Linked DNA regions of Bombyx mori. The protein of the gene in region 3 purifies or fractionates together with the protein of the main gene of each other region. This does not show direct contact. Links are inferred from orthologs where the notes say so. Each region holds a gene or a part of one and is shown on either strand. Other genes may lie near its edges.

Evidence for each region.
Region 1: the proteins of splicing factor 3A subunit 1 (region 3) and survival of motor neuron-related-splicing factor 30 purify together in Homo sapiens (affinity purification with mass spectrometry; 3 studies listed by BioGRID and IntAct, with this or other methods). This does not show direct contact. The link is inferred for Bombyx mori from reciprocal best matches to the Homo sapiens genes SF3A1 and SMNDC1.
Region 2: the proteins of splicing factor 3A subunit 1 (region 3) and putative pre-mRNA-splicing factor ATP-dependent RNA helicase PRP1 purify together in Homo sapiens (co-immunoprecipitation; 5 studies listed by BioGRID and IntAct, with this or other methods). This does not show direct contact. The link is inferred for Bombyx mori from reciprocal best matches to the Homo sapiens genes SF3A1 and DHX15.
Region 4: the proteins of splicing factor 3A subunit 1 (region 3) and U2 snRNP-associated SURP motif-containing protein purify together in Homo sapiens (affinity purification with mass spectrometry; 4 studies listed by BioGRID and IntAct, with this or other methods). This does not show direct contact. The link is inferred for Bombyx mori from reciprocal best matches to the Homo sapiens genes SF3A1 and U2SURP.
Region 5: the proteins of splicing factor 3A subunit 1 (region 3) and ATP-dependent RNA helicase WM6 purify together in Homo sapiens (affinity purification with mass spectrometry; 3 studies listed by BioGRID and IntAct, with this or other methods). This does not show direct contact. The link is inferred for Bombyx mori from reciprocal best matches to the Homo sapiens genes SF3A1 and DDX39B.
Region 6: the proteins of splicing factor 3A subunit 1 (region 3) and pleiotropic regulator 1 fractionate together in Homo sapiens (co-fractionation; 3 studies listed by BioGRID and IntAct, with this or other methods). This does not show direct contact. The link is inferred for Bombyx mori from reciprocal best matches to the Homo sapiens genes SF3A1 and PLRG1.
Region 7: the proteins of splicing factor 3A subunit 1 (region 3) and DnaJ-21 purify together in Homo sapiens (affinity purification with mass spectrometry; 4 studies listed by BioGRID and IntAct, with this or other methods). This does not show direct contact. The link is inferred for Bombyx mori from reciprocal best matches to the Homo sapiens genes SF3A1 and DNAJC8.

What each region holds. Positions count from the first base shown.
Region 1 is NC_085111.1:9,515,872-9,520,495, forward strand, and holds the start of survival of motor neuron-related-splicing factor 30, read right to left. Parts: upstream 3,226-4,624; 5' UTR 3,054-3,225; coding exon 3,012-3,053; intron 2,936-3,011; coding exon 2,673-2,935; intron 2,553-2,672; coding exon 2,406-2,552; intron 1,093-2,405; coding exon 822-1,092; 3' UTR 1-821. UniProt on the Homo sapiens protein: Involved in spliceosome assembly.
Region 2 is NC_085130.1:9,705,455-9,709,617, reverse strand, and holds part of putative pre-mRNA-splicing factor ATP-dependent RNA helicase PRP1, read right to left. Parts: coding exon 3,083-4,163; intron 2,189-3,082; coding exon 2,052-2,188; intron 921-2,051; coding exon 783-920; intron 1-782.
Region 3 is NC_085112.1:2,358,248-2,362,410, reverse strand, and holds part of splicing factor 3A subunit 1, read right to left. Parts: coding exon 3,620-4,163; intron 3,202-3,619; coding exon 2,902-3,201; intron 2,133-2,901; coding exon 1,941-2,132; intron 1,935-1,940; exon of another isoform or gene 307-1,934; coding exon of another isoform or gene 1-306. Other genes in the region: transmembrane protease serine 3-like, read right to left, coding at 1-306. UniProt on the Homo sapiens protein: Component of the 17S U2 SnRNP complex of the spliceosome, a large ribonucleoprotein complex that removes introns from transcribed pre-mRNAs.
Region 4 is NC_085111.1:15,851,768-15,855,930, reverse strand, and holds part of U2 snRNP-associated SURP motif-containing protein, read left to right. Parts: intron 1-844; coding exon 845-1,065; intron 1,066-2,011; coding exon 2,012-2,123; intron 2,124-2,342; coding exon 2,343-2,585; intron 2,586-3,125; coding exon 3,126-3,312; intron 3,313-3,906; coding exon 3,907-4,108; intron 4,109-4,163.
Region 5 is NC_085122.1:1,017,648-1,022,124, forward strand, and holds ATP-dependent RNA helicase WM6, read left to right. Parts: upstream 1-1,647; 5' UTR 1,648-2,039; coding exon 2,040-3,317; 3' UTR 3,318-3,467; downstream 3,468-4,477. UniProt on the Homo sapiens protein: Involved in nuclear export of spliced and unspliced mRNA. Component of the TREX complex which is thought to couple mRNA transcription, processing and nuclear export, and specifically associates with spliced mRNA and not with unspliced pre-mRNA.
Region 6 is NC_085129.1:1,617,245-1,621,845, forward strand, and holds the start of pleiotropic regulator 1, read right to left. Parts: upstream 3,084-4,601; 5' UTR 2,855-3,083; coding exon 2,739-2,854; intron 2,452-2,738; coding exon 2,324-2,451; intron 1,850-2,323; coding exon 1,613-1,849; intron 1,194-1,612; coding exon 1,107-1,193; intron 585-1,106; coding exon 499-584; intron 138-498; coding exon 1-137. Other genes in the region: uncharacterized protein LOC101740918, read right to left, coding at 4,107-4,575. UniProt on the Homo sapiens protein: Involved in pre-mRNA splicing as component of the spliceosome. Component of the PRP19-CDC5L complex that forms an integral part of the spliceosome and is required for activating pre-mRNA splicing.
Region 7 is NC_085115.1:4,913,526-4,918,361, reverse strand, and holds the start of DnaJ-21 (uncharacterized protein LOC101735997), read right to left. Parts: upstream 3,072-4,836; 5' UTR 2,996-3,071; coding exon 2,939-2,995; intron 2,630-2,938; coding exon 2,438-2,629; intron 1,542-2,437; coding exon 1,413-1,541; intron 870-1,412; coding exon 762-869; intron 1-761. UniProt on the Homo sapiens protein: Suppresses polyglutamine (polyQ) aggregation of ATXN3 in neuronal cells.

The DNA.
Region 1 (4,624 bases), on a different chromosome or scaffold from region 3:
AGAGCCGTTTCCTTACACCCTGTCTAAAAGTTCGACAAAATATCGTTAGACAATAACAGAGCTCATATAATACAATAGGTTGGTACTGTAAAACATTTACAGAAAATTGCAGTATTAACACAAGAGAAAAAAATATGCGATCCCAACCCTACCACTGATTACGACACAATCTAGTACTTTAGATCTTTCGTTGTAAGTCACCTCCGATTATTGACTACCTTAACTATATACAGGCTTAGGGTATCATCAGCAATATTTTTTCAAGATAAGACGTTTTCCTCTTCAAGTGACTATATTCTATATCAAATCAGACAAATAGGATATTTCATCATTGTTTCATTGAGAAAATATTGTAAATGATAGTTGCTAAGGCTGGTCTTAAGGGCCACTATTGAGATAAATAATAATTTTATGCTTTTACCTTGCCGTATAATCCTCTGGAATCTAGACTATAACTTATTGCTCAATTATTTTAAAAAAATCGGTAGAACATGAGCTCTCATTTTCTGCATTAAAAATCTAAAGCCATGTTATGGTATAAATATTTCGGGAGACCCATACTGATAATTTCATTAGATGAAATAAATTAATGTAAAGAGTTACAGCAAAATTAACAATAAAGTTTATTTATCTGTGCATTCATAAATGAAGAATAGTCCCGGAAATATGTTTTCAATATTATTTATGTTCAGCCTCTGGCCAGATTTGAACCTTTGCACTAGTAAATAAATGTTTTGATGAAGTTTAACGATATTCTGCCATTTTCTATATGTTGACTATTAAAACTAAACAATGATACAATTATAATTATTTTGAAGCTTTTATCCTCCTTTCTTCCACTTTTCGCCAGGTGTATACTCAGTCATTGGTTTACCTGATATACCACAAGTACCAATTCCTACTCTCCCTGTCAGATTATCAGGAGAAGCAAATATACTTTTTGTTCTGACACCAGGTTTTTTAGAAGCCTTAGTATGAAATGATAACCACTTATTCTTCTCAGATTCTCGTTCTTCTTCAATCTGTTTGAATCTTTGTTGTTTCTTCTGTTTTTTTTTCTTTAAATACTCTCTGTTATACCCTTTGCCATGTCTGGAAAGAAAAACATTATATTAGTGAATTTAAATTCCATCTGTTTTTTTTTAAAGTGGAGTTCTCCTTCACTAGACTTTCAGTGGATGTTATCTTTTATGCTCTTATCATAATAGGTTGGGGAAAAAGCACACAAAAGATATCAGATACAGATATGACCCCAGACTCAGTGAACTACTTGTACTATCTTTATCTTTATTTCCTACCTAAGTTCCTAATTCATATGGATCATTCCTATCTTATATATACTAGTGGTAAGGTCAATGTTTATATTTAATTATGTGATTTCTATGGGCTCCAGTAAGCACTAAATATAAAGTGGAAAAACATCAATTAATGTATTTCTTTCTACAATTTACAACAATACTATTAGAATTAAATAAAAAAATTAATCATACAATAAGTCTGAAACAAATATTCAAATTTAATCATTTTCCACAACAATAACAATTTTAATTGAAATTACGGTTTAATCTCACATTGAATATTTTCATTTCATCTTTGATTCTGTTGTTTCTTAATACTTTTTACTACTGATTTTTTGATCATGAAAATAGTAATTACAAGATTATACTGTAAAAGTAGCTTTAAATATGTTTTGAACATGCAAAAATTACAAAATGATGTAGATGAAAGTATTATTTCAGTGCTTGCTTGGTACATTACAGCATCAGGGAAAATAAAATATGGTACGGAACACAAAGAATACTAAGAAGGCTGCTGCCAATAAATTTTACACAATTACAAGTAAATTCAAAATTTATCCATTTAAATTTCCATTTCCATTTTCATTTATCCATTCCATTTTTATTTCAGGTTAAATGATACCAATGACAAAGCATATCTTCAAGTTAAAATTGTCATTCTCAATTAAAATAATGTAAATCACAATAACTCTGATTTTAAACAAATTTTGTAACCAGTGTTTACTGCCAATGCGAAAATGCAAATGTTATTAAAGAATTAATTCTAACCTATCTAACATTATTCATGAACTGAATGTTTTTAAAATAACTTTTTTTACTCAGTAAACACAACGATTGAGACTTGACAAGAATCACATTATATCTAAAAACAGTAAAACTCACTGCACAGCTATACAACATGGACCAAATGATACAGTAGTCATGAGATTCAAATGGAATATTAATAATATATATATAAATATAATTGAAGTATTTAATATTATAATTTTATTAAGTACATTGTAAGTATTTTTGTTATTTGATGACAGTTGTATTTCAAGGGTCAATTTGGTATTCATTATAATGTATCTCATGAAATATAAAACAAGGAGATTTATTTCTACTTACTTGCTCTCATCAGTACTATGTGGTCTTTTACTTCCTGAATTTAAAGGCTTTATATCAGTCAATGAGACTACTTCCAAGGTTGTGTATCCATCAAATTTTACTTTTAAATTGTCTTCTAGCACCTCCTCAATGAGAGCCTCATAAAACCTAGAATTTTAAGATCACTATAATATCGGTTTAATTCACATACAATATGTTTAACTTATAAGTACTGTAATGTAAAAAGTGTACAGTAGTTCCAGAAATAAAGCATTTTTTAATTCTTACATTCCATCAGCTCTCCATTTTGCCAAACATTTTTCGCCAATAATCCATTTAGAATAGTGCCTAGTTGCAGGATCTCGTTCCTCTGCAGCCAACAGGGACGCTGTAACATCATCACTATTACTAGAACCATGAATATTAGAGACTTTTGAATCACCGTCTTGAGTCTTAATTAAATCTTGTGTCAATTCAATTACTTCTTCTAAATCAGCCTTTAACTTCAAAAGTTCTTCGTTATGTGGATCCGTTAATAACGCTGCCTCCACCTAAGAAAAATACCATCAAGAGTGAGTAAAATATTTGGTAAACAAAAATATTTTGGGTATAATGTATATTACCTACCTGTTGCAATTGTAAGGTATAATTTCGTAGATCTTCGGCCATAGTTATATATTAAATTCAATCAACCAGGCGACAAATGCTTAATTTGCTTGCTTGATAATTTATCGCTTCAACTTTTTACTGCTGTTGCTTCAATGCTTGTCATTGCTTGACATCAGACAAATCTGACAATCAGTGCTCTCAACTTTTTTTTATTTAAGGATTTTTATGACCTGGTAACTAACACTTTTAAGGCATGTCTTATTTTAATTTATAAACTTATTTTTATGAAAAATGTTGGACGTTTAAATTTGAGGGGATTGGGTTCTGTAGGTAATGAGGGGCTATTTAAAAAAACACTGCTTCATTATAATTATATTGCAGATAGTTTGAACACTGTTACACCATTATAAAATTATTATCTTTATATTTTTGTAAAACTCTTACATGTTGCTTTGACCATATCTAGATTAAAAGTACTGACTTTTTCTTACGAGAAGACAATCATCTGTTTATTAAGCATTTAAAATAATTCTAATATTCAAAATCTGTAATCATGTGTCAAGTGTTGCCTGCCATTACATTTATATTCAAACTCCAACTAAATGAGATAAACTTTCATTAAATTAACCTGTGTATAGCATAAATTATGTTTAAATGTTTGACCTAAAGGTCTTTGTTACTAGTTCATAAAATCCCTTAAAAAAATATTTAAATATCATATCTATGGCATAAACTTCTCGGGATCCTCCAAAAAGTCCACTGAAAAAATCTCAGTAAATGACCGCCATTTTACTGAGATCTCATTTCATTTCATGCCATGTTTCATAGATTAATCAACTTCAATTCATTTCATAGTATCATATTTCATAAAATAAAAAATACATATAAAAGATTACGCTGTGTGGTATGATACCTGTGCCTTTCCATTTGGAAAAATAAAACTACTACTAGCCCCGTGAGCTCACCTACTTCACCAGGTTTGAGCCCCGTGAGCTCACCTACTAAAGTTAGGGTTACGCTGACATAGCCAGGTGAATGAAGTTAGCCCCTCAAAAAAATATTTTTTTCCTATTTTATACTTATTTTCTATTAATTCGTTTGTTCATCATTTGTTCATGATTGTTCACTGTTAATAATTGTTTGTTCTGCATTTATTTATTTAAAAAAAAAAATTAAAAATATACCTACAAGTTAGCCCCTCTAATGCAATTTTTAATATTTTTCATCCTTAATGACTCGTAAATATTCATTTTCGATTGTTCTTATATAAAACACGTTTGTTCTCTTTCGAAGTTACTCGTTTTTTGTTTAATTTACTATTTTTATTAGTTGAATAAATGTATGCAAAATATGTGTACTGCGCATGCGTCAACTATAATGGCTAAACTTTCTACGCGGTTTTAGTCGTGAAAAAAAAACAAATATAAATCCTGAAGGAGCAATTAATTGGTATACAATTTAATTTAAAAAATTAAAAATAAAATAAATATAAATATGTAATAGTCGGATTTTTAATTAGACGAAGCCAGCTGACAGTAGCTAATGTCACTTTGTGAAATAATGTTGCTATATTTAAAGTAATAGTGATGCGTTCAGTTCTCGTTCAATCACATAAATGAACAATGAGTGTG
Region 2 (4,163 bases), on a different chromosome or scaffold from region 3:
ATGTCATCGTTAAAACTTCCTTCATTGGGTTTGAAACAGGCCCCTAGTTTTATGACAAATGTGGTGAGGAAGCGTCAGTGCTGGGAGGGGTCACTCAACTCCGCACTCTTCAACAATTTTTTGTCTCATGCTCCATCGATGAGCCATGTAACCATTACTTATACAATATCGTATCAAACAAATTATTTCTATGAGCTTATGGTGCATTCAGCTACATGATGCTTGTCTTATTTGCAATTGTAATCGCATCATCCTTATTCGATATATTGTAGTTTCAGCATTTTGACCTAGTTGCCCAGTATATTCTCCAAGTTAAAAGTCTGTAGATATTGAGGCTACCCCCAGTTCAGGAGTTGGACAATTTATTAAAATTAATTTCTATTAAAACAAACTAGTGAAGTGTGGCTTGTGATTTTTTCTTTAAATAAACAGACAGTATCGTATACCCAACAAGAAATCACTTAAAGCAAGTCAAATACTATCTGGGTTTTTTTTCCTACCTAAGCTGAGACCCTTGAGAGGCTATTTCAGTGTAACCTTAACTAGTAGGTGAGCTCACGGGGCTCAAACCTGACGTCGTTGCTAACACGAACCCTAGCAAGAGCCGTGCTTCGCAGAATCTACCACCGGATTGAAAACGCGACCCACTGAGAAGATCCGGCGAGAAACTCAGTGGGCTGTGTCTGTGGGTTAATTTACTCGTCGAGCCCTTCGTCGCAAGCGACGGGTTCGACGAGAACGATGACCACGCTATCTGTAAGCACAGATATGGAACATCCTACCTGACAGCATGGCAGTGATGGAGAGGATCTCGTTGGAACAGTTGTGATTGCAGCTGGCTATCAGCATCTTGGCCAGCTGTGGGTCGAGGGGGAACTCCGCCATCACAGCACCCAGGTCAGTGAGGTTACCGTCATCATCTGTGGAGAATCAAATGACAAATGAACATCATGAATAATAACCCATCTGTCTCGACTGGTGTTAGGTCGTCTTGTGAGCTCACGCGAGTAGATACCACGACCATGACTATTTCTGCCGTGAAGCAGTAATGTGTTCCGGTTCGAAGGCAGCCATTGTACTGTAAAACGTATACTCAGAACTCATGTCTCAATGTAGATGGCGAAATTTACGTTATTGATGGCTGAGGGCTCTGGTAGCCACTTAACATCAGGTGGGTGATAGACGCCCACAGATTTAAGCAAAAAAACTTAATTCATGGCAGGCCATGCAGAGCCTGCATAGGTCTGTCCTCACTGCATACATCTATAAATCCATTGAATGGTCAAAATTCCATTACATTTCTGTCTTTTGTTTTGTTATTGTCATTTCTTCATGAAGTAAGTAAGGCTAAGTATTTCCAACTTTTATTTATTACTAACAGTATCCTTACGAAAGCTTAAGAAAAACCACAAAAAGAATAGACAAATGGTATATTATGATTGTTTTGTCTTTGCCTTTTTTAGTGACGTTACAATTAGACATGCCACGAATATTCGGTAGTCGGCCTATTCGGCCACTTTGTTTGGTATTCGGTATTGGGCCAAATAATAGGTACTATTCGGCCCAATACCGAAAAATGAAGGGCAGGTCTCAAATCATGTTTCGTCAAAAAACTCGAATAATGATTTTTGTTTATTATTTTCATTACAAATCTCATAATATTCCCATATGGCCGATTTTTTATTAATTGGTGTCATTTTTTAATGAACAACAATTGAAAAAGAACTGACGATAAAAGTTTTCTACAAAATCGTAATGTTTCATTTATATTGATCTGACAAAGCGTGCCGTGACGTGATTTACTCGCAACTGAAACAGTCTAATGGCCGGACACCGCCCGCACACGATGGAGACAGGTCCCAACCGGTCATATTATTCTTTACGCGCTCGACTAACTAGCATGTACTTTGTGCCGAATATTCGGCGCTTCCGCCAACAGCGTTGCCGAATATTCGGTATTCGGCCAAATCACTATTCGTGGCAACTCTAGTTACAATAATCCATGAACGCTTCTAAAGTAATTTCAAAAACAATATACAGCACAAGCTCACCCAGCGCAGCCAGATAGTTGAGCAGCTCGAGCGCCCGCATGAGTGTCTCCGGAGCCGGTGGATCCATGAAATCGAAATGCACCAGGTCATCGATGCCCAACTTCTTCAACTGCAAAACTACAGATCCTAAGTTTGATCTGGAACGGGCAACGCAGTCGTATTATTAGATTACAACTCACTTCATTACCCGAACAGGACAAACTTAAAGGGGGTGTGATTTTAGCATATTGACATGACAGTAACAGTACTCTTAGACTTCACCCATTCAATAGCTGAGATATTTAGGGTGTTAGCTTCTAGAACTATGTTAGTGTAATTCGCTGTGTAAGAGTCAGATAAAGTCAGGAAAAAATTCTCAATTTTTCTCGTTTCATACCAAATTCCATACATTTTTCTGGTTCCATTGAAAGTGATTCTTAGGCTTTTTAGTTGTTTTGGAATTTGTTAAATATCAACTATACCATTACGTCGTTTTGGCAATTCATAAAATACTATATTTTGAACAGTTTCATGAAAAAAAAAATTTTTTTTTTGTGGGTATGCGTTTGGTCTGATTCTTATACCGCGAATTGTAACCCATTCAAAATTATATTAGAGTAGAGAAACATTGTCGTGCTCTGCCCACTACACCGACTTGTATGAAAATATATTCTAGAAACTATATATAGCCTATATAGCTAGCTTGTTGTTTCTATGACGTAAACCTATTTTGGAAAAAATATCCAAGATTCGTCACAATTAATGATTTTATAGCACATACATTTTTATTTGGACTACTAAACAACAAGTAAACTTTATACACAATTGACAGTAATATAAAGTGATGATTCTCAGCAATTGACAGTGACCACACCCAATCAGACAGAAATAATGATGCACATGAAAAGCTATAAAATATAGACAAACAGAGCTTATCTTGTTATTATATAAGAATAATAATTGAACATTACAACTGTTAGTATAGAAATAAATACAGTATTTACTCACTACATTCGAAACGGTAGTCACATACAAACCGTTATAAAAATTACCTCAAAATCTCAGGATAAGTATTGTCCTGCATTTCATCCTTGTATGCTTTCTCAGTATATAACCGGAAGCACTTCCCAGGTCTAGTTCTGCCGGCCCTCCCCGCTCTCTGTTGGGCTGATGCTTTACTTATCGGAGAAACCAATAACGATTCCACCCTTATACGGGGATTATAAACTTTTTGTTTCGCAAAACCTGGGTCAATGACAAAAACAACACCATCAATAGTCAGAGATGTTTCAGCGATGTTTGTGGACACTACCACCTTCCTGCCGATGGCTCCGTTTGGTCGATTTGGAGGTGCCGGCTCAAAGATCCGTTGCTGTAAATTTGGCGGCAATGTTGAATATAACGGTATGCACTTTAGCTCTCCTGCATCAGTTCCCAGATTGTCTATTTCTCTTTTAATTCTCTTACAAGCATCCTCAATCTCCTCTTGTCCAGTTAAAAATAGTAGTATATCACCAGAGATCTCTTCACACATATGGATTTGTATTACAGTCCTTATCGCAGCTTCTAGGTAATCTCGTTCAGGTTGTGGAGTGTAAAATATTTCTACCGGATGAGTCCGACCAGGAATGTTCATTAATGGAGCATTGTCAAAATAATGCTGGAACTTTCCAGCATCTAATGTGGCTGACATAATAACGAGTTTCAAATCGGACCTCTGTTTTATGACTTCTTTGAGAACACCCATCAGGATATCTGTTGCAAGTGTCCTTTCGTGGGCTTCATCGAGGAGTATAACTCTATATTGTTCTAGCATTGGGTCAGACATAGCCTCTCTTAGCAACATACCGTCTGTCATGTATTTTAGAAGTGTTTGTGGCCCTGAACAGTCTTCAAAACGAATGCTGTAACCAACTTCCTGACCCAAAGCCACATCCATTTCTTCGGCTACCCTCTGAGCAACAGACATAGCAGCCACTCGTCTTGGTTGAGTACAGGCCACTCCTTTAGCCTTGCCTAGGCCACTTACTGCAGCAAATTCTACAGACCACTGGGGGATCTGGGTAGTCTTCCCTGACCCTGTTTCTCCTACGAGCACTATACATTGATGAGTGTTGAGTAATCTCATGAAAT
Region 3 (4,163 bases):
GTCCTGGGAAGGTTTCTGCGTGAGTCCATAGTACACCACCCATGACATCTTCGGATCCTGGATTAGCAAGTCTTCGGTTTTGGAGACGCAGCGCGCGGTGGTCAGGGTCCAGGTCGGGGTCAGCACGCACCCCGAGCACAGCAGAGCGTTCGTCGTAGTATTCGTGAGTTTTAACTCGACCGTCACAACGTACGGGTACTCATCTTCTAAAGCATCTCTGCCTGTGCGCAGTGATTTCGTGCAAACCACAATATTTACAGTTTGCAAAACGAAATATAACATTAGATTCAATGCCACAATACCCATTATGTATTACAATGTTGTTCAACATAAGAGAAATACAATACACGTGAAACATTTTTATTGTTTTTCTGTTTTAATGTTTTATATTTTATTGACGAGATTTTTATTACGCGCTGTGCAATGTTATTCGCGATCGGGTTTCCCAGCAGTTTGATTGATATTTTATTTGTTTAAGGCATTTACGATAGTTTATGAAAACTTTTTTCTGGCACAGTGGGGGTGGGGAAATGTGTTAGTGCTTGTCCTTTTGGGAATACGCTGCCACAAACACAAGTAACTGAGTTTCTTTCACCGGGTCTTCTCATTGGGCCGTGATTCCGACCCGATGGTAGATTCTGCGAAGCACTGTGCTTGCTAGGGCTAGTTTTAGTAAATTCTCTCAGGATGAGCCCAGGGAGCTCACCTACCGGTCCGTGAGTAGTTAGAATAGCCCTTTAGGGTACCGACGATTAGGTAAGCAAAAAAATGCAAGCCCTTTCCTGCATTGAAGGAATCAGGGTTGAAGCCAATGTTCAATGAATCCAATGATTTTTTTATATATCATAATAATACCCTTTTTTGATTCATCCTACTTAATATTATAAATGTGAAAGTGTGTAAGAATGTATAGACATATTCAGAAAAGTACTTCGTAATTTTTCGGAAAAGTTCGTATTTATCGTGCTCTCTCAGTGCAATGACATTATTCATTTTGACACTAAATAATAAAGTTCCATACTATTGGATATGAAAATGTTACTCATTTAATATAATCATTCATTGACTGTTCGGGTGTCATCGTATTCCGATAAAGATCAGAGTTTTCCCGAAGGAAAATAATTTCCCACTACATCTTAATTGTTACTCTTTCACGCAAAAAGTGCTCAATGAATTTTGATGAAGCTTACAATAATATAGCTTACACTGCAGAATAACATGCATGTTAATCATGGTTGTAATGAATGGTAGGTGGATCAATATTTGAATAGTTATGACTATTCACAATCGAGTGCGCGATATTATGAAAGATGAAGATAGAAAATTCAATAAGATCAATAATAAGTTATAGTTCCCGAAGCGAAGCACGGGCGGGTCGCTAATTTAACCCTCAGACACAGCCTACTGAGTTTCTCGCCGGATCTTCTCAGTGGGTCGCGTTTCCGATCCGGTGGTAGATTCTGCGAAGCACTGCTCTTGCTAGGGTCAGTGTTAGCAACACTCCCGGTTTGAGCCCCGTGAGCTCACTTACATGTTAGGGCGAAGCTGATATAGCCGCTTAAGACTCAGTATATAGAAAAAAAAGTCACTAAAATCGAGTGCAACACTAAAATATTTGTATATTATTTTAAATTTTGTGGCTGGATTTATTCGCATTGTTTTCGGCCCCGGTTTATGTACTAGGAGACTCGACACATATTTTTCTACACATGCGTTTAAAATTTGAAAATTTCAAACTATTTTGTTCTATGAAAAAAAAAAAACGAAATTAATAAAGAAACATTTTGTAGTGGACCAAATGGTGTATCTAGAAGAAAAAGCCTCTCAAGGCTATCAGCATAGGTAGGGGGAAAAATGTATAAAAAGGAATATGCGGAGCTCTTTTGGAGGTGGCATTGTCCTTGTCGTTGGCCTGGTGGAAGGGAGGCGGCGCGGCTCACCTTGTGTATCTGCTGGATCTGGTCCTCGAGCGTGATGTGCGCCCTGGCGGCGCGGGTGGCGGCCTCCACGCTGGAGGTGTGCCCGTCCCACGTCACGCGCTCGTCGCGCTTCTTCTCCTCCTCGCCGATCTTCTTACCGATGGTCGTTTCCTCGTCCCCTACACCGAAGATGTCAGTACGACGCTCCGCCAACTACAACAAATGTTTATTATTTTCTTAACAGACTTACAAAATAAGGAGGTTTGCAATTCGACATTTTTTTGTTTCCTGAGGTTTTTTTCTCTTGTGAATTGATTTTGATGATTTGTTTATTTGAAAGCATGGTGCCATTTAAATTTTATGAAGATTTGATCAGTAGTTTTGGAATTATCCTCAATAGTTGCACATTTATTGACTTCAGACGTTTCTCTCTCGTTGTATTTTGTTGAATTCAGTTTTTTATTTAAAATTTGATATTATTATATAAACTTATTTATTTATTTACGTACACACAAAAAAGAAGGCATAGTACCGAGTAATAGGAAAATTATGTACAAAGGCACTGCTTATTTTTTTAAGAAATCTCTTCCAGCAGACCTGCGAGAGGATTATGAGAATAATAATTAAAAGTGATGAGTGTGTGTAGAACAGCTAAAATAACAAATACAACATGAGAATTATAGTAATGCACATACACATAGCAAATAGTTACTGGTGGTAGGACCTCTTGTGAGTCCGCACGGGTAGGTACCACCTCCCTGCCTATTTCAGCCGTGAAGCAGTAATGCGTTTCGGTTTGAAGGGCGGGGCAGCCGTTGTAACTATACTGAGACCTTAGAACTTATATCTCAAGGTGCGTGGCGCATTTACATTGTAGATGTCTATGGGCTCTAGTAACCACTTAACACCAGGTGGGCTGTGAGCTCGTCCACCCATTTAAGCAATAAAAAAATTTATCAAAAAAGTTTGGATGTGGGCATACCTGTTTAAGCGAAGCCTCGATGGCGGCCCCGGGGGCGAGCGCCTCGTCCCGGTCGGTGCGCTCGGCGGCGGCGCGGTCCCGCTGCTCCAGCCAGCGCGGGTCCAGCAGCCCGATGCGCACGTGCTCGGCCACCTTGCTGGCGGGGATCTTCTCGCCGGTGATGGGCGACACGAGCCACTCGTCCCCGGCGGCGGCGCGGGGCTTCGCCTCCTTGGGGTTGTACTTCTTGACGACGACGCGGTCGGGGCGCGGCGGGAGGGGCGCCTCGTCCGCGCGCGGGGCGTCTTGCTCCGTCTCGGACTGAAAAATAATTTACATGAATATTAGCTATGATATTATCAGAACAGCTTTTTTTTTATAATAAATAAATATTTACTAACAATCACACCACGTTAACTGGTTCTGTGCTAAGTTCGTAAAGAACTTGTGTTACAGGTACCAGATAACGGAAATAAATGTAAGATTTTTATTATACACATACATATATTTAATATACATCCATAACCCTGGAAAAAACATTTTATATTTATCATACAAATATCTTCCCTTGGCGGGATTCGAACCCGCGACCCTGTTGTGTAGTGACCATGTCACTTACCACTGCATCAAACGGCTCTGAACTGTATATATAGCATTGAAGGATTTTTTAAATGCTAGCTTTGAAATCAGTTTGTTGATACTGGTTCAGCTTAAATTGTAAAATCATTAAAAATATTACCTCCGAAGTCGAGCTTTCCTCTTCCATGTCTTGCACGCGGTTATCGTCCGGCCGATGGGACTGAGTTCGATCCTCCATTTCCGCAAGTTCCTCATCAGACTCCGATTCCGATTCGGATTCAATTTGCATCTCAGTATCATCGTCGTCATTCTGGTTCCGTATTATATCTTCACCCCTCTCTTGGGCGAGGACGCGGGCTCCGACTTCTAGTGGAGTGGTCGGAGGAGGGAAGTCTCCGGGTTCCCCTGCGGGGTAATCTACAGTTTCAACAACGACAAAATCGTGCCAGTCTATGGAGGCATACGCGAGCCTCTCTTTCTCAATTTTGGCCTCGTCAGCGGCCTTGCGCTTGGCTTGGTGCGCGTGCCAGGCAGCGCGACTGCGAGCTTGTTCTAATATCCCGCTGCGTATCTCAGCATTCAGCTTTGATACTAGTTCTTTTGGCGGCAGCAACACCTTCGTGTACTGCTCAAGCAGACGCGTGAAGTATTGGAACAGTGAATGCTGGGGACGAAGAAAATCAAACTGATGATTACGCTCCTCT
Region 4 (4,163 bases), on a different chromosome or scaffold from region 3:
ACTAAAACATTTTTGTGCCTATTATTTTTGCCTACAAAGCAGTGTAAAAGTAAATTCAAAACTCCTTTCCATGCTGGCTATGGTAAGCTTAGGCCGCTTTTGTGCTGACGGCCTCATTTAACAATTGATTAAATTAGATACGGCAAGTAAAATGTCGTTTGACCGATTCGATTTATAGAACAACAATTTTAATTATTTTTTTTATGTCGTACTGTTAACATTAAAATTTAACCCATTTTTCCGTTGTTTGTAAAATTGCTGTAACATTTCATAGTGTGTGTTATAAGAGATTTCTGTACATGCCTGTAACTGGCTTACATACCAGTACTTAATTTTATACATGTTAAGTATAAGCTTGAGTGTTTTGTGTGTATTGCTGTTGGTGTGTCTAAATAAACTAGTGGTCCGCAGTAGTCGAAATTCGTCTATAATTAATTGGAATTATAAGTTTGAACATTATTATGGTTCTATCGTCAAAGACTATTATACTTCTATAATCACAGATGTCGCCAAGACTACACTATAGACAAATAATATTGAACATAAATAATATTAACCTATTCTAAATTTGACTACAGATTTTAAGCAATAACAAAAGTTCGACAATAAACAGAGTATAAGTGTGTGTCAAATACATGGTAGCGTGTGTAATGTTTTCTTCATTGATTTAATATATTTTTATGCATAATTTTACATAAATTTTAGCGTTCTGCACTTCTTCTCTATATTATGTATAAGTGTGGGAAATTTCATACTCCTCCGTCCAAGCCATTTTCGTAAAAAGGGATACGAATTTTTTGCTTCACGTATTAATATTCTAAATAAATAAATATGTGTTTTACAGAAACATCCTAATGTTAATACATCGAATGGTCGAGTTCGTCATCCGCGAGGGTCCGATGTTCGAGGCCATCATCATGAACAAGGAGATGCACAACCCCTACTTCCGGTTTCTGTTCGAGAACCAGTCGCCGGCCCACGTTTACTATAGGTGGAAGCTGTACTCCATGCTGCAGGGAGACTCGCCTAAACAGTGGAGGCTGGACGACTTCAGAATGTTTAAAGGTGAGATTTAGCTAAATTATAATACTTAGATTTAAAAAATGCATAAGATGCAATAAAAACAATTATAATAAGACCTGAACAAAAATATTGGAACAGGTTGGAATTTTTTAATCTGTACAGGTAGTTCTTTATCAAACTATTTTTAAGGCTTTTTGGCGGAAACGTGAGGAGTGAAGTTATGTGATTTGTTTTATTTTGTCTATTTAGTGTTTCTTCAAGTTTAAATGTATAATAACAGTGGTTTATTAACTGTTTAATATCTGTTTAAGTGCACAAATGTGGGAAAATGAAACAAAGCCGCTGGACGTAACTTCTCGGGATCCTCCAAAAAGTCCACTGAAAAAATCTTAGTAAATGACCACCATTTTACTGAGATTATATTATTTCATGCCATATCATTTCATTTAATTTCATCCCAGTTGATTAATGTCTCAAATTAATCATCTTCATTTCATTTCACTCCATTATATCATTTTTCATAAAAATATGAATGTAAATTAAAATAAGACATGACTTGAAGGTCGCAGTTACCAGGTAATAAAATCCCTTAAAAAAAAAAAACTATTTTTAAGAATTTCTTTATGAATTTGTTTCCTCGTCCTGTACTACCAGAAGTCCACGTGTTGGTGCCACCATTCACGTGCGTCAAATTAAAGTAACAGCTTAACATACCGAATGTCAATGATTTCAGATATCGTAACAATAAGTGGTATCTGAAAATAATGTACTAAAGCTTTCTGTTTGCATACAATCTAATATAAAACACAATTAACTGAAGCGCGGGTTTTGGGGAACGTGTGGGGTCATTGAACTTTGCGTTACATTGCGCGCTAATAAATTCACCAAAAGTACAAGTAATTATTCTTACCATATTATTATGTACTATTGTAAGATCGAAGAGTGTCAAAGTACCCTATAAATGGCTATAAAATTTGTATGTTCCCAGGTGGTTCAGTCTGGCGGCCGCCGGTGATGAATATGTACACGGCGGGCATGCCCGACGAGCTGGTGGAGGAGGAGGACGCCAAGGACTCCATGAGAGGAACGCTCTCCGTCAAGTCAGTTGCGCGACCCTTGCGCGTTTATTTCAATAATCTTTTTTGCATTCTGGATTCTTTGAAAGAACCCAAGAGTTATTGAATAGTGGTTTTGTTCCATTTCTCCATATTTGTGTATTTTGAAAAATAAGAATATAAATTAAAATAAGACATGCCTTGAAGGTCTTAGTTACCGGGTCATTAAATCCCTTAAAAAATAACGTAGTGTTGTGGTTGCAGTCAGCGCGACCGGCTGGAGGAGCTGATCCGCTCGCTGTCCCCGACGCGCGGCAGCGTGGGCGCGGCCATGGCGTGGTGCCTGGAGCACGCGGAGGCGGCGGGCGAGGTGGCGCAGTGCGTGTGCGAGGCGCTGGGCGGCGCCGACACCGCGCCGCACCGCCGCGTGGCGCGCCTCTACCTGCTCTCCGACATCCTGCACAACGCCGGCGCCAAGCTCACCAACGCCAGCGCCTACCGCGCCGCGTCAGTATACTGCTTCTCTATACTGCCAGCTTTAAATAAGCTAAGAACAAACAAAGCACGATATGGCTACGGTAGGCAGCGGCTTGACTCTGCCCCTGGCATTGCTGAAGTCCATGGGCGACGGTAACCACTTACCATCAGGTGAGCCGTATGCTCGTCTGCCTACAAAAGCAATAATAAAAAAAAGAATTTTATGAAACTACGGTAAAAATGAAACTTTTTTCACATTATAGACATTTGACTCTGACAAACAACATTTACATTAAACACTGACAAAAACAAACAAAAAAGCGTCGAGCACTGGCACAAATGAGTAATAGTCTATACACTATACGGTCAGCTATAGTTCACAGTATAGGCGCTGCCATATTGGCCTTGGCTGCTCTAACGAGCACCTTTCACTTTATCCCTACTCCGCAGACGACCGTCACGCGACATGCAACACACAGACGAAAAAGTTTGAGACGATGATGAAGGTTTCACTTTAAAAAAAGACAGCAAAAACATTCTATTGAAGTTAGACTTTGTTCTTGCGTGTAGATTCCAGCAGCGGCTGGCTGAGATCATGCGCAACTGCCAGCAGGCCTGGGCCCGCATGCCGTCCCGCCTGCAGCAGGAGGGCTTCCGGGCCCGGGTCACGCGCATCCTGCAGGCCTGGGCCGACTGGGCAGTCTATCCCACTGACTTCCTACTACATATTAACGACATCTTCCTGGGACAAGATAAGGTGAGCTTAACCCAATACTAAATTCCACTACTAAACGTTCACTTTACATGTCTAACCTATATAGCTACAAAAAAATTTTGGTGCTTTTTAAATCATAATAGCAGAATTAATGTCTTTGTAGAATGGCTATTAGTATTTCAATCGTATTAACTTGTATCTGACGGGGAGATACGGGTTGATATTGATGTCAACGGAATTTGAACAGAACGGACCAAACGAATTTCGGAAAATTTTCCAGGCCGTTCAATCTCAAACGATTTCGCCTACTGTTCAAAAATATGCTTTGCCAGAAAAGTATATTATTATCTTTATTTACAATATGAAAAGATACTTAAAAGTCTAATATCTGTAAAAAAAATAAAATAAAATAATAATGCTAATATTTTATCTCATAAAAACTTTACATATTATTATACTAATTTTTAAATTATTAAATTAGTCAAATTTTATTAATAAATTCTATTCCATATTTAAACACGAGCTTATTTTTATTATAAAAGAATGGATAAATTAAAAAAAAAACTTGGTTCTTGTTCGTTCATATACAGACACTATTGTAATGTTCATACATGGTAATGAGTTGTGGTTGTACAGGAGCGTCGTCCCTCGACCGAGGCGGGTGCGGGCGGCGCCGGCGCGGTGGAGGAGGCGGTGTCCCCGCGCTCCGACGCGTCCTCCTCGTCGTGGGAGGGCGGCGCCCGGGGCCCGCTGGACGGCGCCGCCCTGCGCCGCCTCGCCGCCGGCCGGGAGCCGCACGCGCCCGCGCTGCCGCCGCCGGACATCGACGGCGTGCCCGGTATGTACACGCGCCCACATTAACTCGACGTGGTGTTTGCGCACGTTCATTTTAG
Region 5 (4,477 bases), on a different chromosome or scaffold from region 3:
GCCTCCAACCACGATATGGGCATCGATAGGTGGCACTCTCCGCGGCCTGTGGAACCACATGGCCTCGGATTTACTGAGTGTCACGTCGAGGCCCGATTTCCTGATTTTACCGACGACATGCGCCACCCGAGCGGTGGCAAGACGAGCAAACTCAGCAAAACTCCTGTGTCCCATTATTTTATTCTATCATCAATAGTTTTCGTAGGGCACGCGACGTAAAGAATATTTTAGGTAATTTTTTTTACACCTTGGGTTAAATTATTGGAGTTTTAGTAAGGATACCCAATTTTTTTTTAAAAAAGGTTATAGTCTACGTCACTCGGGAATAGTGAAGCTTCCAAACAGTGAAAGAATTTTTCCAATCGGCTTAGTAGTTTCGGAGCCTATTTAATACAAACTAACAAAACTTTCCTCTTTATAATATTAGTACAGATATTAATTATTACAAATAATAAAAACGCTGACTTAGGTGGCGGTTTTTATTTGAACCAGTTCTAAATTATAAACTAAAATTCTATGAAAAATTACCCATATTTATCTATAATACGAAATGATATTAATTTGTTTTTCGTAGTTTCCTTCCTTCTTGCGTCGATAATCCTCAGTGCTGAGGGTCGCGGCCTCCTCTAATAACTTTCTCCTGCATCATCTTGCGCCATTCCTGCCTGTCCTCGGCTGTATGGATAGCAACGTGGACTGAAGTTTTGAGAGTGGAGCGTATTTGGTCCGACCAGCGCATTGGATTTCTGCCTCTGTGCCCTCTCCCGCATACCTTGCCTGTTACCAGCAACTTTTCCAGATTCTCACCTCTCTTTCTGGCGATATGTCCAAAGATCTCTAAACTCCTCCGCGCGCATGTAGTGCGGAGGCGCATTGGAATCTTGAGCTCGGTAAGAATGGATTCGTTGGTTCTGTGTTCTGTCCAACGAATCCCGAGCATTTTCCTCCAGCACCACATCTCAAACGCGTCGATGCGTTGGCGGTCGGCTTTCTTGAGGGTCCAAGTCTCTGCGCCGTAGAAAAAAATGCCACCCAAGCACAGTCCATTTGGAACATAGCCCTCTTTGCCATACTGATTCGCCTTCTGAGGTCCTTTTCGGAGGTTCCATTACTAGCTATGACGGAGCCCAGATAAATGAAATCCTCTACGTCTTCCAGGTTTAGCTTATTCGTAGTTTAATAAGTTATTATTGTTAGTAGTATTATTTACTAGTCGAAATATAAATTTTTAATTATCTTATGATGAGAATCTTATATTAATGAGAAAGATATTCAACAAAAATAGTTTCGTTCTAATAAATTAGCATAGTAATAGTACAGTGAACTAGCAATTTATTTTGGTAATTCTGAATTTAAACAAACATATTGATGAGAAGAATTCATTTTTACTTTGCAAATTTGTAAATACACGCTCTGTAGCAATGTACGGACATATAATAATATGAAGAAACAATAATAGCATCTACAAATATATATGTACTACGTGGTACTACATTTAATAAAATTAATACAACATTTATTAATTAAATTAATGAAATTGTGGTTTTAAAGTTTTAGGGGTGTATAAAAAATGGGGGGCGCTGAAAAATAATTGATATTCAAAGGGGGCGGTAAAAGAAATAAGTTTGATAATCACTGCTCTAAGTATTTCATTTTTAAATACTCATAAAATGGGTCATTTCAAAAAATAATATGACATGAAAAAAATCATATAAAAGACATATTATTCACGTGCTCACGTGAAAATAAAAACTATGATTGCATTATAGCTGTTCGCCTGTGTTCTTCTTTTTACTTTACACAAATAAAATTTCAAATTAATCAAAAATCAAATTGCAAATTTAATTCTCGTAAACTGTTGAGTGGCGAAAAAGCCAAGTGGCACGTCATATTTAACTGTCAAACATAACAAAAAAAGTTTGGATTGACGCCAAAAAAGCCGAAGCCGCCATTATTGTGAAATCGTATTGTAAAAATAAATTTCACGTGCTCACAGTGAGTACGATACAGTAAACAAGCTAATTAAACTAAAGTAAATCATGGCTGACAACGACGATCTTCTCGACTACGAAGATGAAGAACAAGCAGATCAACAGACTGCTGACGGGTCTACCGAAGTGGCGCCAAAGAAGGAGGTTAAAGGATCCTACGTATCCATCCACAGTTCTGGTTTTAGAGACTTCTTACTTAAGCCAGAGATACTCCGCGCTATTGTTGATTGCGGTTTTGAGCATCCTTCCGAAGTTCAACACGAATGCATTCCGCAAGCCGTCCTCGGTATGGACATACTTTGCCAAGCCAAGTCCGGTATGGGTAAGACAGCCGTGTTTGTTTTGGCAACATTGCAGCAGCTGGAACCCTCCGAGAGCCACGTTTACGTGCTTGTAATGTGCCACACCAGAGAGTTGGCTTTCCAAATAAGTAAGGAGTACGAGCGTTTCTCGAAATATATGTCAGGAGTCAGAGTATCAGTATTCTTTGGTGGTATGCCAATTCAGAAAGACGAGGAAGTCCTTAAGACAGCATGTCCTCACATTGTAGTGGGAACTCCCGGTAGAATTTTGGCATTAGTAAACAGTAAGAAACTTAATTTGAAACATTTAAAACACTTCATCCTTGATGAGTGTGATAAGATGCTGGAATCTCTAGACATGAGGCGAGATGTGCAGGAGATATTCCGGAACACTCCTCACGGGAAACAGGTGATGATGTTCTCAGCCACATTGAGTAAAGAAATCAGACCTGTGTGTAAGAAATTTATGCAAGACCCAATGGAAGTTTATGTAGATGATGAAGCCAAACTCAAGCTACATGGACTGCAGCAACATTATGTGAAACTAAAAGAAAATGAGAAGAATAAAAAACTCTTCGAACTACTTGATGTATTGGAGTTCAATCAGGTGGTTATTTTTGTGAAATCAGTACAGCGCTGCATAGCTCTGGCACAACTGCTCACCGACCAAAACTTCCCTGCCATTGGTATCCACAGAAATATGACCCAGGATGAGCGTCTCTCCCGCTATCAACAGTTCAAGGACTTCCAAAAAAGGATCCTGGTTGCAACAAATTTGTTTGGCCGGGGAATGGACATTGAAAGGGTAAATATTGTCTTCAACTATGACATGCCTGAAGATTCAGATACATATCTACATCGTGTCGCCCGCGCAGGAAGGTTTGGTACCAAAGGTCTGGCCATTACTATGATATCTGATGAAAATGATGCCAAGATCTTAAACCAAGTACAAGATCGTTTCGATGTGAACATTACAGAGCTGCCTGAAGAAATTGAGCTCTCTACCTACATCGAAGGACGATAGATTAAGTTTCATTCCCATACCTATTTACTGCTGTGGCTCATTTTGTTGGTAATTAGACTGGCCTGCTTTAACATTGATTTGTAATACATTGAGCCACATTTACTGTTTAACTAGGTTTATCTAATTAAAGTGACATTTCATATTGTGATATCTGAGTGTTTTATTTCTTTACCAACAATTTGGGAGCTTTCATCGTTATCAGTAAGACAGGCTGTGATATGTTTAACTTTAGAATGTAGACAGGAAATTGATATATTTATTTTGACCATGTTCATATTAATGTAACAAAATATCCATTTTGAACATATCATTTTGTCTTTATGACTTCATATTTTTATATTCTTAGACATGCAAAATTTACTGATATTGGATGTTAATACTTCACACAAATACTACTGGATGCATTTGGATAAAATTTCATGCCTAAAAACTTCAGAATAAAACAAGCCATAATTTAATTTAGAGTACCTACGTACAGTGTGAGAGGTGGGGTGCAAGTAGTTTCAAGAAATTACTGTTTTTAGAGCCTTGCTATAGGATAATTATACAGGAACGCGACCAGTTTTAACTGAAAAGTACAGAAGGCCCATGTCCAGTAACTGGTATCCACTACAAAATCAAAATCTATAATTGTCTGCCTACACTATATTGATTTAATTAAACTAAATTAGAAACACGTCCAAAGATTTTTTTATTATATAAACTGGCATTTTAATCTATGTTCACAAAAGACGAAAAAGCGATAATGCTAAAAACATACTTTATTTTAGCACCATTTGCATACAAAATAAATATTTAAATTAAGCTTATAGTCCTGCATTTAATTTTTTTTACTGGTGGTAGGACCTCTTGTGAGTCCGCGCGGGTAGATACCACCACCCTGCTTATTTCTGCCGTGAAGCAGTAATGCGTTTCGGTTTGAAGAGTGGAGCAGCCGTTGTAACTATACTTGAGACCTTAGAACTATATCTCAAGGTGGGTGGCGCATTTACGTTGTAGATGTCTATGGGCTTCAGTAACCACTTAACACCAGGTGGGCTGTGAGCTCGTCCACCCATCTAAGCAATATTTTTTTTTATTAAAATATTAATAAACACCAATTATCAATTTCATCTTTATTGCTCTTTATTCCTTAATGAATAACTGGAATTTTTCAATAG
Region 6 (4,601 bases), on a different chromosome or scaffold from region 3:
GTGTGCACGTTGGCCTTGCTGCGCACGTCCCACACGCGCGCGGTGCCGTCGCGGCCGGCCGACACCAGCACGTCGAGGCGCGGGTGCAGCGCCAGACACACCACGGCCGACAGGTGACCGTGGTACTGCCGGATCACCTGCACACACAACGAACCGATCCTAAATACAAAAATTCATCTGCTTTATATACATATAATTATATGGAGTATTTCAGAATGAATAAACAATAATGAATTAGTTGTGGTTTCTGTGATATAGTAAGAAAGCAACATATAAAGCCCTTAACCTCAATTAAAGAGTAAACAGTACATATTATTAATAATAAACTATACAAAACTGAACTCTCTTTTTCACTTCACTCCATGACACTGAATAACACTGAAGAAAAATCCTTTTTAAAATCTAAATAGTTTTAAATAATAAAAGTTTTCTTTACATATATTTAAAGACATATCATTTAACCTATATTTTTTTGTTATTTATAGGTCAATAACTCACTTTGTTATATTCTAAGTCCCAGCACTTCACCTGTCTGTCCTCACCGCAGCTGAATAAATATGGATGTCTTGGTGACACTACCACTCCTGAAATAGAATATATTCATATTACACATACTGGTACTTGATGGATTCTTAGATCATGATTTTCACAATTAACATAGACTCAACCTACGGTCTCTGTGCGTACAACATGATGAAATATCCAGAACTGTGTTAATGTGAAAATTATGATCAGAACTTGTTATGTAATTCTGTAATATACATAGCAGCAAAAGTTTGAAAAAATTAAAAATGTCTACTATTACTAAAATAAAAAATTACTAAATTAATTAAGGAACCGAAGATTGGGTTTAGTGGCGAGCTTTGGGGAGGCTTATGTCCAGCAGCAGACTGCCGCAGGCTGATGATGCTAAAAAAATTACTAATTTAGTAGGCAGCGGCTTGGCTAAGCCCATGGCATTACTGAAGTTCCTGGGCGACGGTAACCACTCACCATCAGGTGGGCAGTGTGCTTGTCTGGGCAATAAAAGAAAAATGCGTTCATTATTCAAAATCTGAAAACCAAGCATTGATTTTTGCATGAATACAAAAAGTGTGCGCACCTACCTCTTACTGTACTCACATGTCCAGTGAGAGATACTTTTAGTTTCCCACTTGCTAAATCCCATACTTTTATCACTCTGTCAGCGGCACCTGAAATATCAAAACCATCATGCAGATTAATTCCTTAGGATTGGTTTTATTGTAATGGTTGTGCTAAAAGTTCATTATAACAGAAAAATGAAGTAACTTTAATCATAAATCAAGTTTATTTTTTCAACCGTTCATAGGACAACAGCTTGTCTACACAAATACAATATATTGATTATCTAACTGTCAAAGTTTATGTTTTGTGTTGTATTGATAAAAAAGTCTTATAAATAAGTATATTTAATATGTAAAAATCAAACTTTATATTAATAAAATTTTTAAGATTGACAAATTTGTAATTATAATTCTTACCACATATCCTTCTTCTAATTTATACTAAAAGGATTAAATATATTAGTTAAATGTTGGCATATTAGATGCCATTAGTTTGCTCTGTATGTGGTTTCTATAATTTTACTTACCGGTAGCAAACCACTCATTTCCAGGTTCTACAGCAACACATCGAACCCAACCCAGATGACCTGATATAACACGCATTAATTTCCAGGGTGGGTGCCATTTTGGTTTGGGCATAGACGGCGGTTTCCGTGGTACAGTTAAAGCCCCCGAGGGGGGAGCTGGTGACGGTGAAGGTGTTGGTCCAGAGTATGGGACAACAGCCCCTTCCGACGGCAAAGGTGCAGTTTCCACTGTTTCTGCTAAAGAAAACATTCGATTTATTTCATTGCAATATCAAGGAGTATTGGACCGATTTTTTATTGAATGTAATGAGCATAGAACTCATGAGGTCCACAGCTAAATTCTTGCTGTTTTTTTATCATAACGAAAATGCAACTTTGTTGTAAAAAAAATTCCATAAAAATGAATAATTTTTTTTTTGTTTCTGTATTTGATCCATATTTCTGGAATGTTCTCGATTTTTGTAGAGATATCGTATTGACTATAAAAGCGTTGCAGAGATGACATGAAAGCAGTTATTAAAAGGATCTACTCAAAGCGAAACAGCAAACGGATCACCTGAAGCGAAGCGGAAGAAGTGAATTACGAATTGTAAAGTGTTTGGTAAGTGTTCTTAGTTTTAAATAGAGTTTTAATATGTACTTCAGTGGAAGTTTTATTTATCCTGAGCCTAAGCGCTTAACCGTATATAGGAGTTTGTTAATTGTTTTTACCTGTGGTCAGTGGAGTTTCAGGTCTACAGGTGACAGACTCTTGTTGTTTCAGGGCCTGAGCCTTCCGCACTGCACCCATGACTTGTCCGTAACTATCTCTTGCTTTAACCAATTTCAGTACTTTCTCTCTGTTAATGTAAAATTATAAATAATAATTATCTACTCTAGTGTTTTATGTAGTTATACATAACGTGACATTTTCCTCTAATTTATTTACCTTGACAACATTGTCTGCTCCCATAAAGGTTTTCTCCAGTACAGTAGAAAGTTTTAAAGGTTTAGCAGAAATTTTTTGATACGGAACAACAAATCGCTTAGTTTGTCTATTGTACCGATCTTTGAAATAGCTCATCGATTATTTCCATTAGGACTTGTATTAAACTAACCTCAAATAATATTATTCTGTTTTACTTACGCTTTATCGTCGATTGGCGGCAACATTCCTTGATTAGCTAGGAACATATCGTGCGATCTTTTCAACGATCGAAACACTAAAGTGTGTACAGAATGTTTAATCACGTCCTCAGACATTATGAAGTTATTAATTAATGTCTAAAATTACTTAAAGAATACGAAATACTATTAACTTGTAATATTAAATCAGCATTTAAATTCAATTTTATTTTTAATTAATGCATATTCCTTATGATTCTTACGAAAAGCTTTTTGGTTTTAACGGTGTCGAGACCAAGAAATACCCGACAACAAACAGCAACAACTTTCCTACAAAATAAATCCTACGTCAAACAAACGTCAAATGGACGGTATGAGCAGCGTCACTGTCAAGTGTCACTGTACAGATAATAAAAAATTTGGGCAAATGAATGCAAATCTCGATTAGCCTGCAACAAACATAATTATTATGATTTTTTGAAATTACCATTTTAATTGTTTTAAAACAAACATTTTAAATTCCTCTTATTGAGCTGAAATACTAAAGGGTATTTGAAGAAAAAATTTATTGTTTGTTGTTTATGCTTGTTGTGACGGATAGAAAGTACGGATTTGGCTCAGAATTTTATCAATAATTTAATTAGAGTTTGCTCCTAGAAATGAAAAAAACACTGTTTACACAACGTCGATTTTATTCATAAGTACAAAATTCGAGCATAAAAATTCATTGCGAAGAAAATTGTGGAATTGATTTTCAATAAAATACACAGTGGACTATATCTATATTTACCTCTAAATTCACAAGTAGGTACGAACATGACTAGAAATTGTGCTTACAGACTAGAAACTAGACTAGATACAGCTGCTCACTAGTTTTCGAATATTTATTGATTTAATGATAGCTATTTGTTATGTTAAATTACATACAATAAACATCCTCCAAAGTATTATTTACATTGTACAGTGTGCCTGGTGCGAGTTGTTTTAACTTCTCGATCGTGTAAAAGTTACTCAAAATTGTATGGAGCTGGGGCAGTTACTCTGCGTTTGCCGCTAAAGGCGCTGTTCCAACTCCATACAAATGGTACTAAGCACATTGTACTGTTCAACACACAGACTTGGAATACTTAATAAGTGCATACACAATATTTACATAAACACACAATTACCGTAAAAGAGCATTTTAGTATTTATGAACGAATGTTAATCACTGAACTACCAGAAATTTCGACGACGATTTTTCAAAACTAAAAAAGCATTACACTCAGTGAAACAAGAGTCAATAGTACGGTTGTTAAACGAGACGGTCAACGTTCGAATTTTCAATCGACTGCCAATCGTAATCGATTTCAGTTGTATCGGCGACGGAGAATACCGCGCCACTCTCGGTTCAGATGGCCGATTTCTCTGGATTATTAGCGTCGCTAACGCGGCGGGAGTGGGGCGCGCGGCGCAGCGTCCTCGGCTGAAGGTTCAGAGGAGGCAAGTTGGGGCGTTCGATCCTGGTTGGCGATGACACGAGCGGTCTCGTTCTGCGCAGCGTCTCGATACCGTTACGGAAGTAGTCCTCAGCTCTATCGCTGTAATTTTCTATCAGGGGCGCCGGGTCTTCGTATTCAACATTGAAGTGACGGGTGATGGCCAAGTCTTCGGGTGGGCCGAGTTTGTAGAGAGGGGGTTCGACGCACTCGTAGTGGTGGTCCTCCGTATCGTCGTGCGGGTAAGTGTCGGCGACAAAGTGTCTCGTGCCTCTCGGCGTGAGGGCCGCCCACAGCACTCGTGAATCCAGAGCCGGGCCACCGTATAATGCGTTGGAGCCACTGGCTTTCGCTGTACCGCTTTTGCAGCCACCACGAGCCCTGAAAACCGAATTAGATTAAGTAAT
Region 7 (4,836 bases), on a different chromosome or scaffold from region 3:
TTAAAGAAGATATTTTATACATTTTAATGGCTCGGAATGAAGTTTACGACGAATTATGAAAGAGCTAGGCTTCAGATGGAAAAAAAAAAACAGAAAATAATCGGAAGCTGGTAATTGAAAAAAGTAACATTCGATTACTACGAATCGAATATCTTCAAAAAATAATTAATTATAGACAAAAAAGAAGATCGAACCGACCGAGTCGTAAACTACACCGATGAGCCCTATGTCGACTTATCATGATGATGGCGACTCGGGTGATGAAAACAGTGATGATGGTAATGGTCAAGATTATGATAACGAAAAAAAAATTACAAATACCAGCTTCGCTTCAACTGAACGAAGACCTGGCAACAGCTCTAGTTTTGACTTAATAGAAGGAATATCTATTTTACCCCAATTATTAACCTATATTTTTTGTTGATGTTCTAATAAATATATAAATAAATACATATGTTGATTTTAATAATTTAATTGCATTATGACGCAGAGTAAATAATGTTTTTGCACGTGAGTGTACCATGCGCAAACTTACCCCCACTACGTCAACAAATGCTCAAGAAGTTTGCCGGCTATTATACCTATCATAATTTCACTTAGTCATTCATAATGGTGTATGTTTGAATAGCTATTGGTGATACATAAAGTAATGTACTCAATGCGACTCATGAGGATTTGATTCCGATACACATGATTTATCTTTAAATTCATTTGAATTAAATGTAGTTTTATTAAATTAAACAGCACTACGCAATACATACTTTCATGGTCATAACATATACGGCATGTTTTTTTTTCTCTGGATCATCTTCAGGAATGGTTTCTATTAAGCGGTTTTCCTTTTTCAGCTTTTTCCGTTTCTGTTCTATCTGAAATTATAAATAAGCAGTGTAAATACAATTTTATAAGTACAAATCAGTGTTTAACTTATGTTGATTGGTCATTGTTGTGAAATGATATGTAACATAATTTTGGTTTTCGATTCCCATCATGAAGTGAGATTAATATTTTTAAGCCTAGCCTTGAATTTTTTAATTCAAATAATTACAACAAAATGATACCTTGTTTCATGATAATATAAAAGTACAAAAATTTTAAGTTAAAATTTTATAAATAATTTCATTTATAATCATTTAACTAGATTCGCTTGGCAAGTAGGTGACCTCACGGGGCTCTAACCTGGCGAATTTGCTAACACTAGCCCTAGCAAGAACAGGGCTTCAAAGAATCTACCACCGGAATGAAAATGCGACAGTGACTGGTGCTTGAGGTACCTAAAGGCAGTGATATTGGATTGAGAGGATCTGAAACTACGGGCTTCATAGGTACTGTAATCGGATTTTAACATTGGCAAAGACAATATTTCTATTTGATCACCTTTATCAGGTAATTAGATAAAGCAAATCACTCACCATATGATCTGTTCGTTCCTTAGCCTCTTCATAGATGTCCAGACATTTTTTTCTTGTGTCATCATTTTCTAATGTTTTCCAAGCTCGATTCACTATTTCAAAAGCTTGTTGAGCACGCTCAGAGTCATCCTGCAATTTAAAATTCCGTAATTTTGTTACTGCTAGAATTGTTTGGTATTTGGTTATTATTTACTATTTTTAATGTTTATTTGATTAATGTTAAAAATATATTTAACCAATTTTACTTGCGAATTCAGTGAGAGATTTTTTGATATTTTTTTTTGACTAATGAAAGTGTTTAATTAATTTATAGTATAAATCGGTGAACAAGCTTTTAGCTTGCAGATGTGACTGAGTGAGTTACAGATGTTGCTACGCACCTTGAGCTTTTTGTCTCAATTGTATAATAATTACAAAAATTACAATCTTTTCAAGGTTCATTTTTATTTCATGCTCAAATTGAATAATTCATTAAGGAAGTTATTCAAAAACATGTGTCAAATGCATGTTTTATTCCAAAAATTGGTAACTGTCTGCAGAATTTAATTACAAGTATAATCATAATATGTTGCGATATTTATAGTTTTGAAGTACACAGAAAAATATTGAGATGCTATAATAGCCTGTCGCTCTGTATGTTTTATTCAATTTTCTCAGGCAAATTAAAACAATACACTAAATAATAGAGTAAATTGAGATAATATAACTTAATCAGGTCGTTTTGTCTCTATTACACTATTTTTATTTTAACCCTTTTGCATTCCATACATTACCTATGTAGTGGAGTCACAGGGCGTTCCCAGGGTCTCAACCAATCTGTGGATGAAAATGAATAGTTGACGGGCGTAACCGCCTAATCTTGTGGAGATCTTACCAAAAAACATTCATCATTTCAAAAATTCTAATAATGCAATACTAAGAAAAATTTAAAAAAGTCTTGAGTACCAATGTAATTTCAGAACTTCACTGTGGGTTTTCAAATTATAGACTACCAACTAATCTTGGTTATTGAAATGTTTTCTCACCATATTCTTATCCGGATGGACAAGAATTGACAATCTCCTATATTTCTTTTTGATTTCATCAAGTGTAGCATCAGGCTCAACCTGAAGTACCTCAAATGGGTTTAAATTGAAATAAGTGGATCCAGGACGAAGGAGCCTCTCAATCTGTTGTTTAGGTGTCAAAACGGAGTCACGTTTTTCAATTTCTTTAACCTATGAACAACAGAAATTCACGAAACATCATTGAGAATTTGTCAAATGCTTGATTAAAATGTTTTTGTTTTTTTTTCGATTATTAATTATGCATGACAATTTATAAACATGATTTAGAGTAAGCATGAAGGTATGAGAAACAAATTGTATCTGTTTTGTTTGTTATTCAAACTCTCTACATGTACCAATCGTGTACCATGTTCTTTCGTTCAGCATGTCACAACAGCTTTATCAGTTTTAATAAAAGTATTGTATAATTTAAAATGTAACATTTGGTGATTCCATCGTTGTAATTTGAACATGGCTTACCTCTGTGTAAAATTCGTCAAAAGAATCTCCCCTGTTTGTCGATGTCGTCGAAGTCATTGTTAAATGTGAATTGGAGGGTAACGAGATTACTAAATTAAATTAATTCATTTAATTCCAATTAATATTGCAGTAAATATTCACATGCTACTTTTTTGCATTTTAATGAATTGAAATTGAACGAAATGTGAATGAAATTATGTTGAGCTTGACAAATAGTGACAAGCGTGTAACAATAAGTTGGTTTTTTATAAGGGATTTTATGACCTGGTAACTAAGATTTTTAAGTCATGTCTTATCATAATTTATATTCTAATTTTTATGAAAAATGATATTATGGAGTGAAACGAAATGAAGACGATTAATTTGAGACATTAATCAACTGGGATGCAATTAAATAAAATGAGATGTGATGATATGGGATGACATATAATCTCAGTAAAATGGTGGTCACTTACTGAAATTTTTTGAGTACACTTTTCGGCGGATCCCGAGAAGTTACGTTCAGCGGCTTTTTTTCATTTTCTCACATTTGTGCAGTTTCACAGATGTCACACATTTAAAACTAAAGTAACATTATTAGACAAAACTATTAGATAAATTATTAGATAAAACAAATCACTTAACTTCACTCCTCGCGTTCCCGCCAAAAAGTTTATGTTACTTTAGCAGAGCAGCTTAACATAGATTATAGCTTACACGGACGAGCCGATATTTTGTAGAGCCGGTTACTGACACTAGACAACAGCAGTTCCGGATTTTCTTGGCGCAAATCTTACCGATTTGTTAAACTTTGTGATTACACATACACTGATTTTCCATATTGAAAAGAGGGCTTCTTGGCTTCATTCTTCTTCTTTTTCTTTAGTTTTTGGCTACGGCACGGTTTGTGCATTAGCCAGCGTCAAGTAATAAGATTTTTATAATTCGCCGTTTTAATTATTTCCAGTTTTTGAATAATAAAAAACGAAGGAAACATAATCAATTGGCATGAAATTAAACGAAATGAGATGTTATGGGACGAAATATAATCTCAGTAAAATGGTGGTCATTTATTGAAACTTTTTCAGTGGACTTTTTGGAGGATCCCGAGAAGTTACGTTCAGCGGCTTTGTTTAATTTTCCCACATTTGTGCACTTTCACAGATACTAAACAGTTAATAAACCACCTTTATTACACATTGAAACCCGAAAAAACACTAAATAGACAAAATGAAACAAATCACACTATTTCACTCCTCGCGTTCCCGCCAAAAAGTCGTCTTGACTTCATTATTCATTCAGTATACATGACAGGTTAAATAGCACAGGTGGCACATTATCCTGTCAATTTACTGGACGACCTGGACGGTCTGAGGGATGCGTGAATGGGTGTTGTATGCGATACGTGATGTACATTATTGAAAGGTATGTACCTACCTACTGTTTTACGATTTTACTTATATTACTATAGATTATTACAATATGCGAAAAGTAATTCAGAATTCATGAACTACCTGTAAGTATAATGCTATTATCTCCCAAAGAGTCAAATAAATTATCGATCATTCCATCATAGTATCTCTAGAGTCCGAGTACCTATTCTTACGTTCCATTTCATTCGTCCCTATCTCGGTCGTAGTTAGTAGACTTATTTTCTCACGGCTGAGACCAAGCGGTTCCTTAGAGGTTATAAATTTGTCTCGTAATTTTACAAAACTGTGGAAACTATTGTGAGTATTATGTACATGATATATTATTATCATTTGATACTTAAATGCTGTAAATGTGCCCATAACATTGTTACAAATGAAAGCAATTAATATGTAGTCAAACATAGGTAACTTTTTCAATTCAATCGACCTTGTCAAGCCTTGAATACTTATATTTTGAGGTGCCAAGCTTAATTTAAACATTTTTAT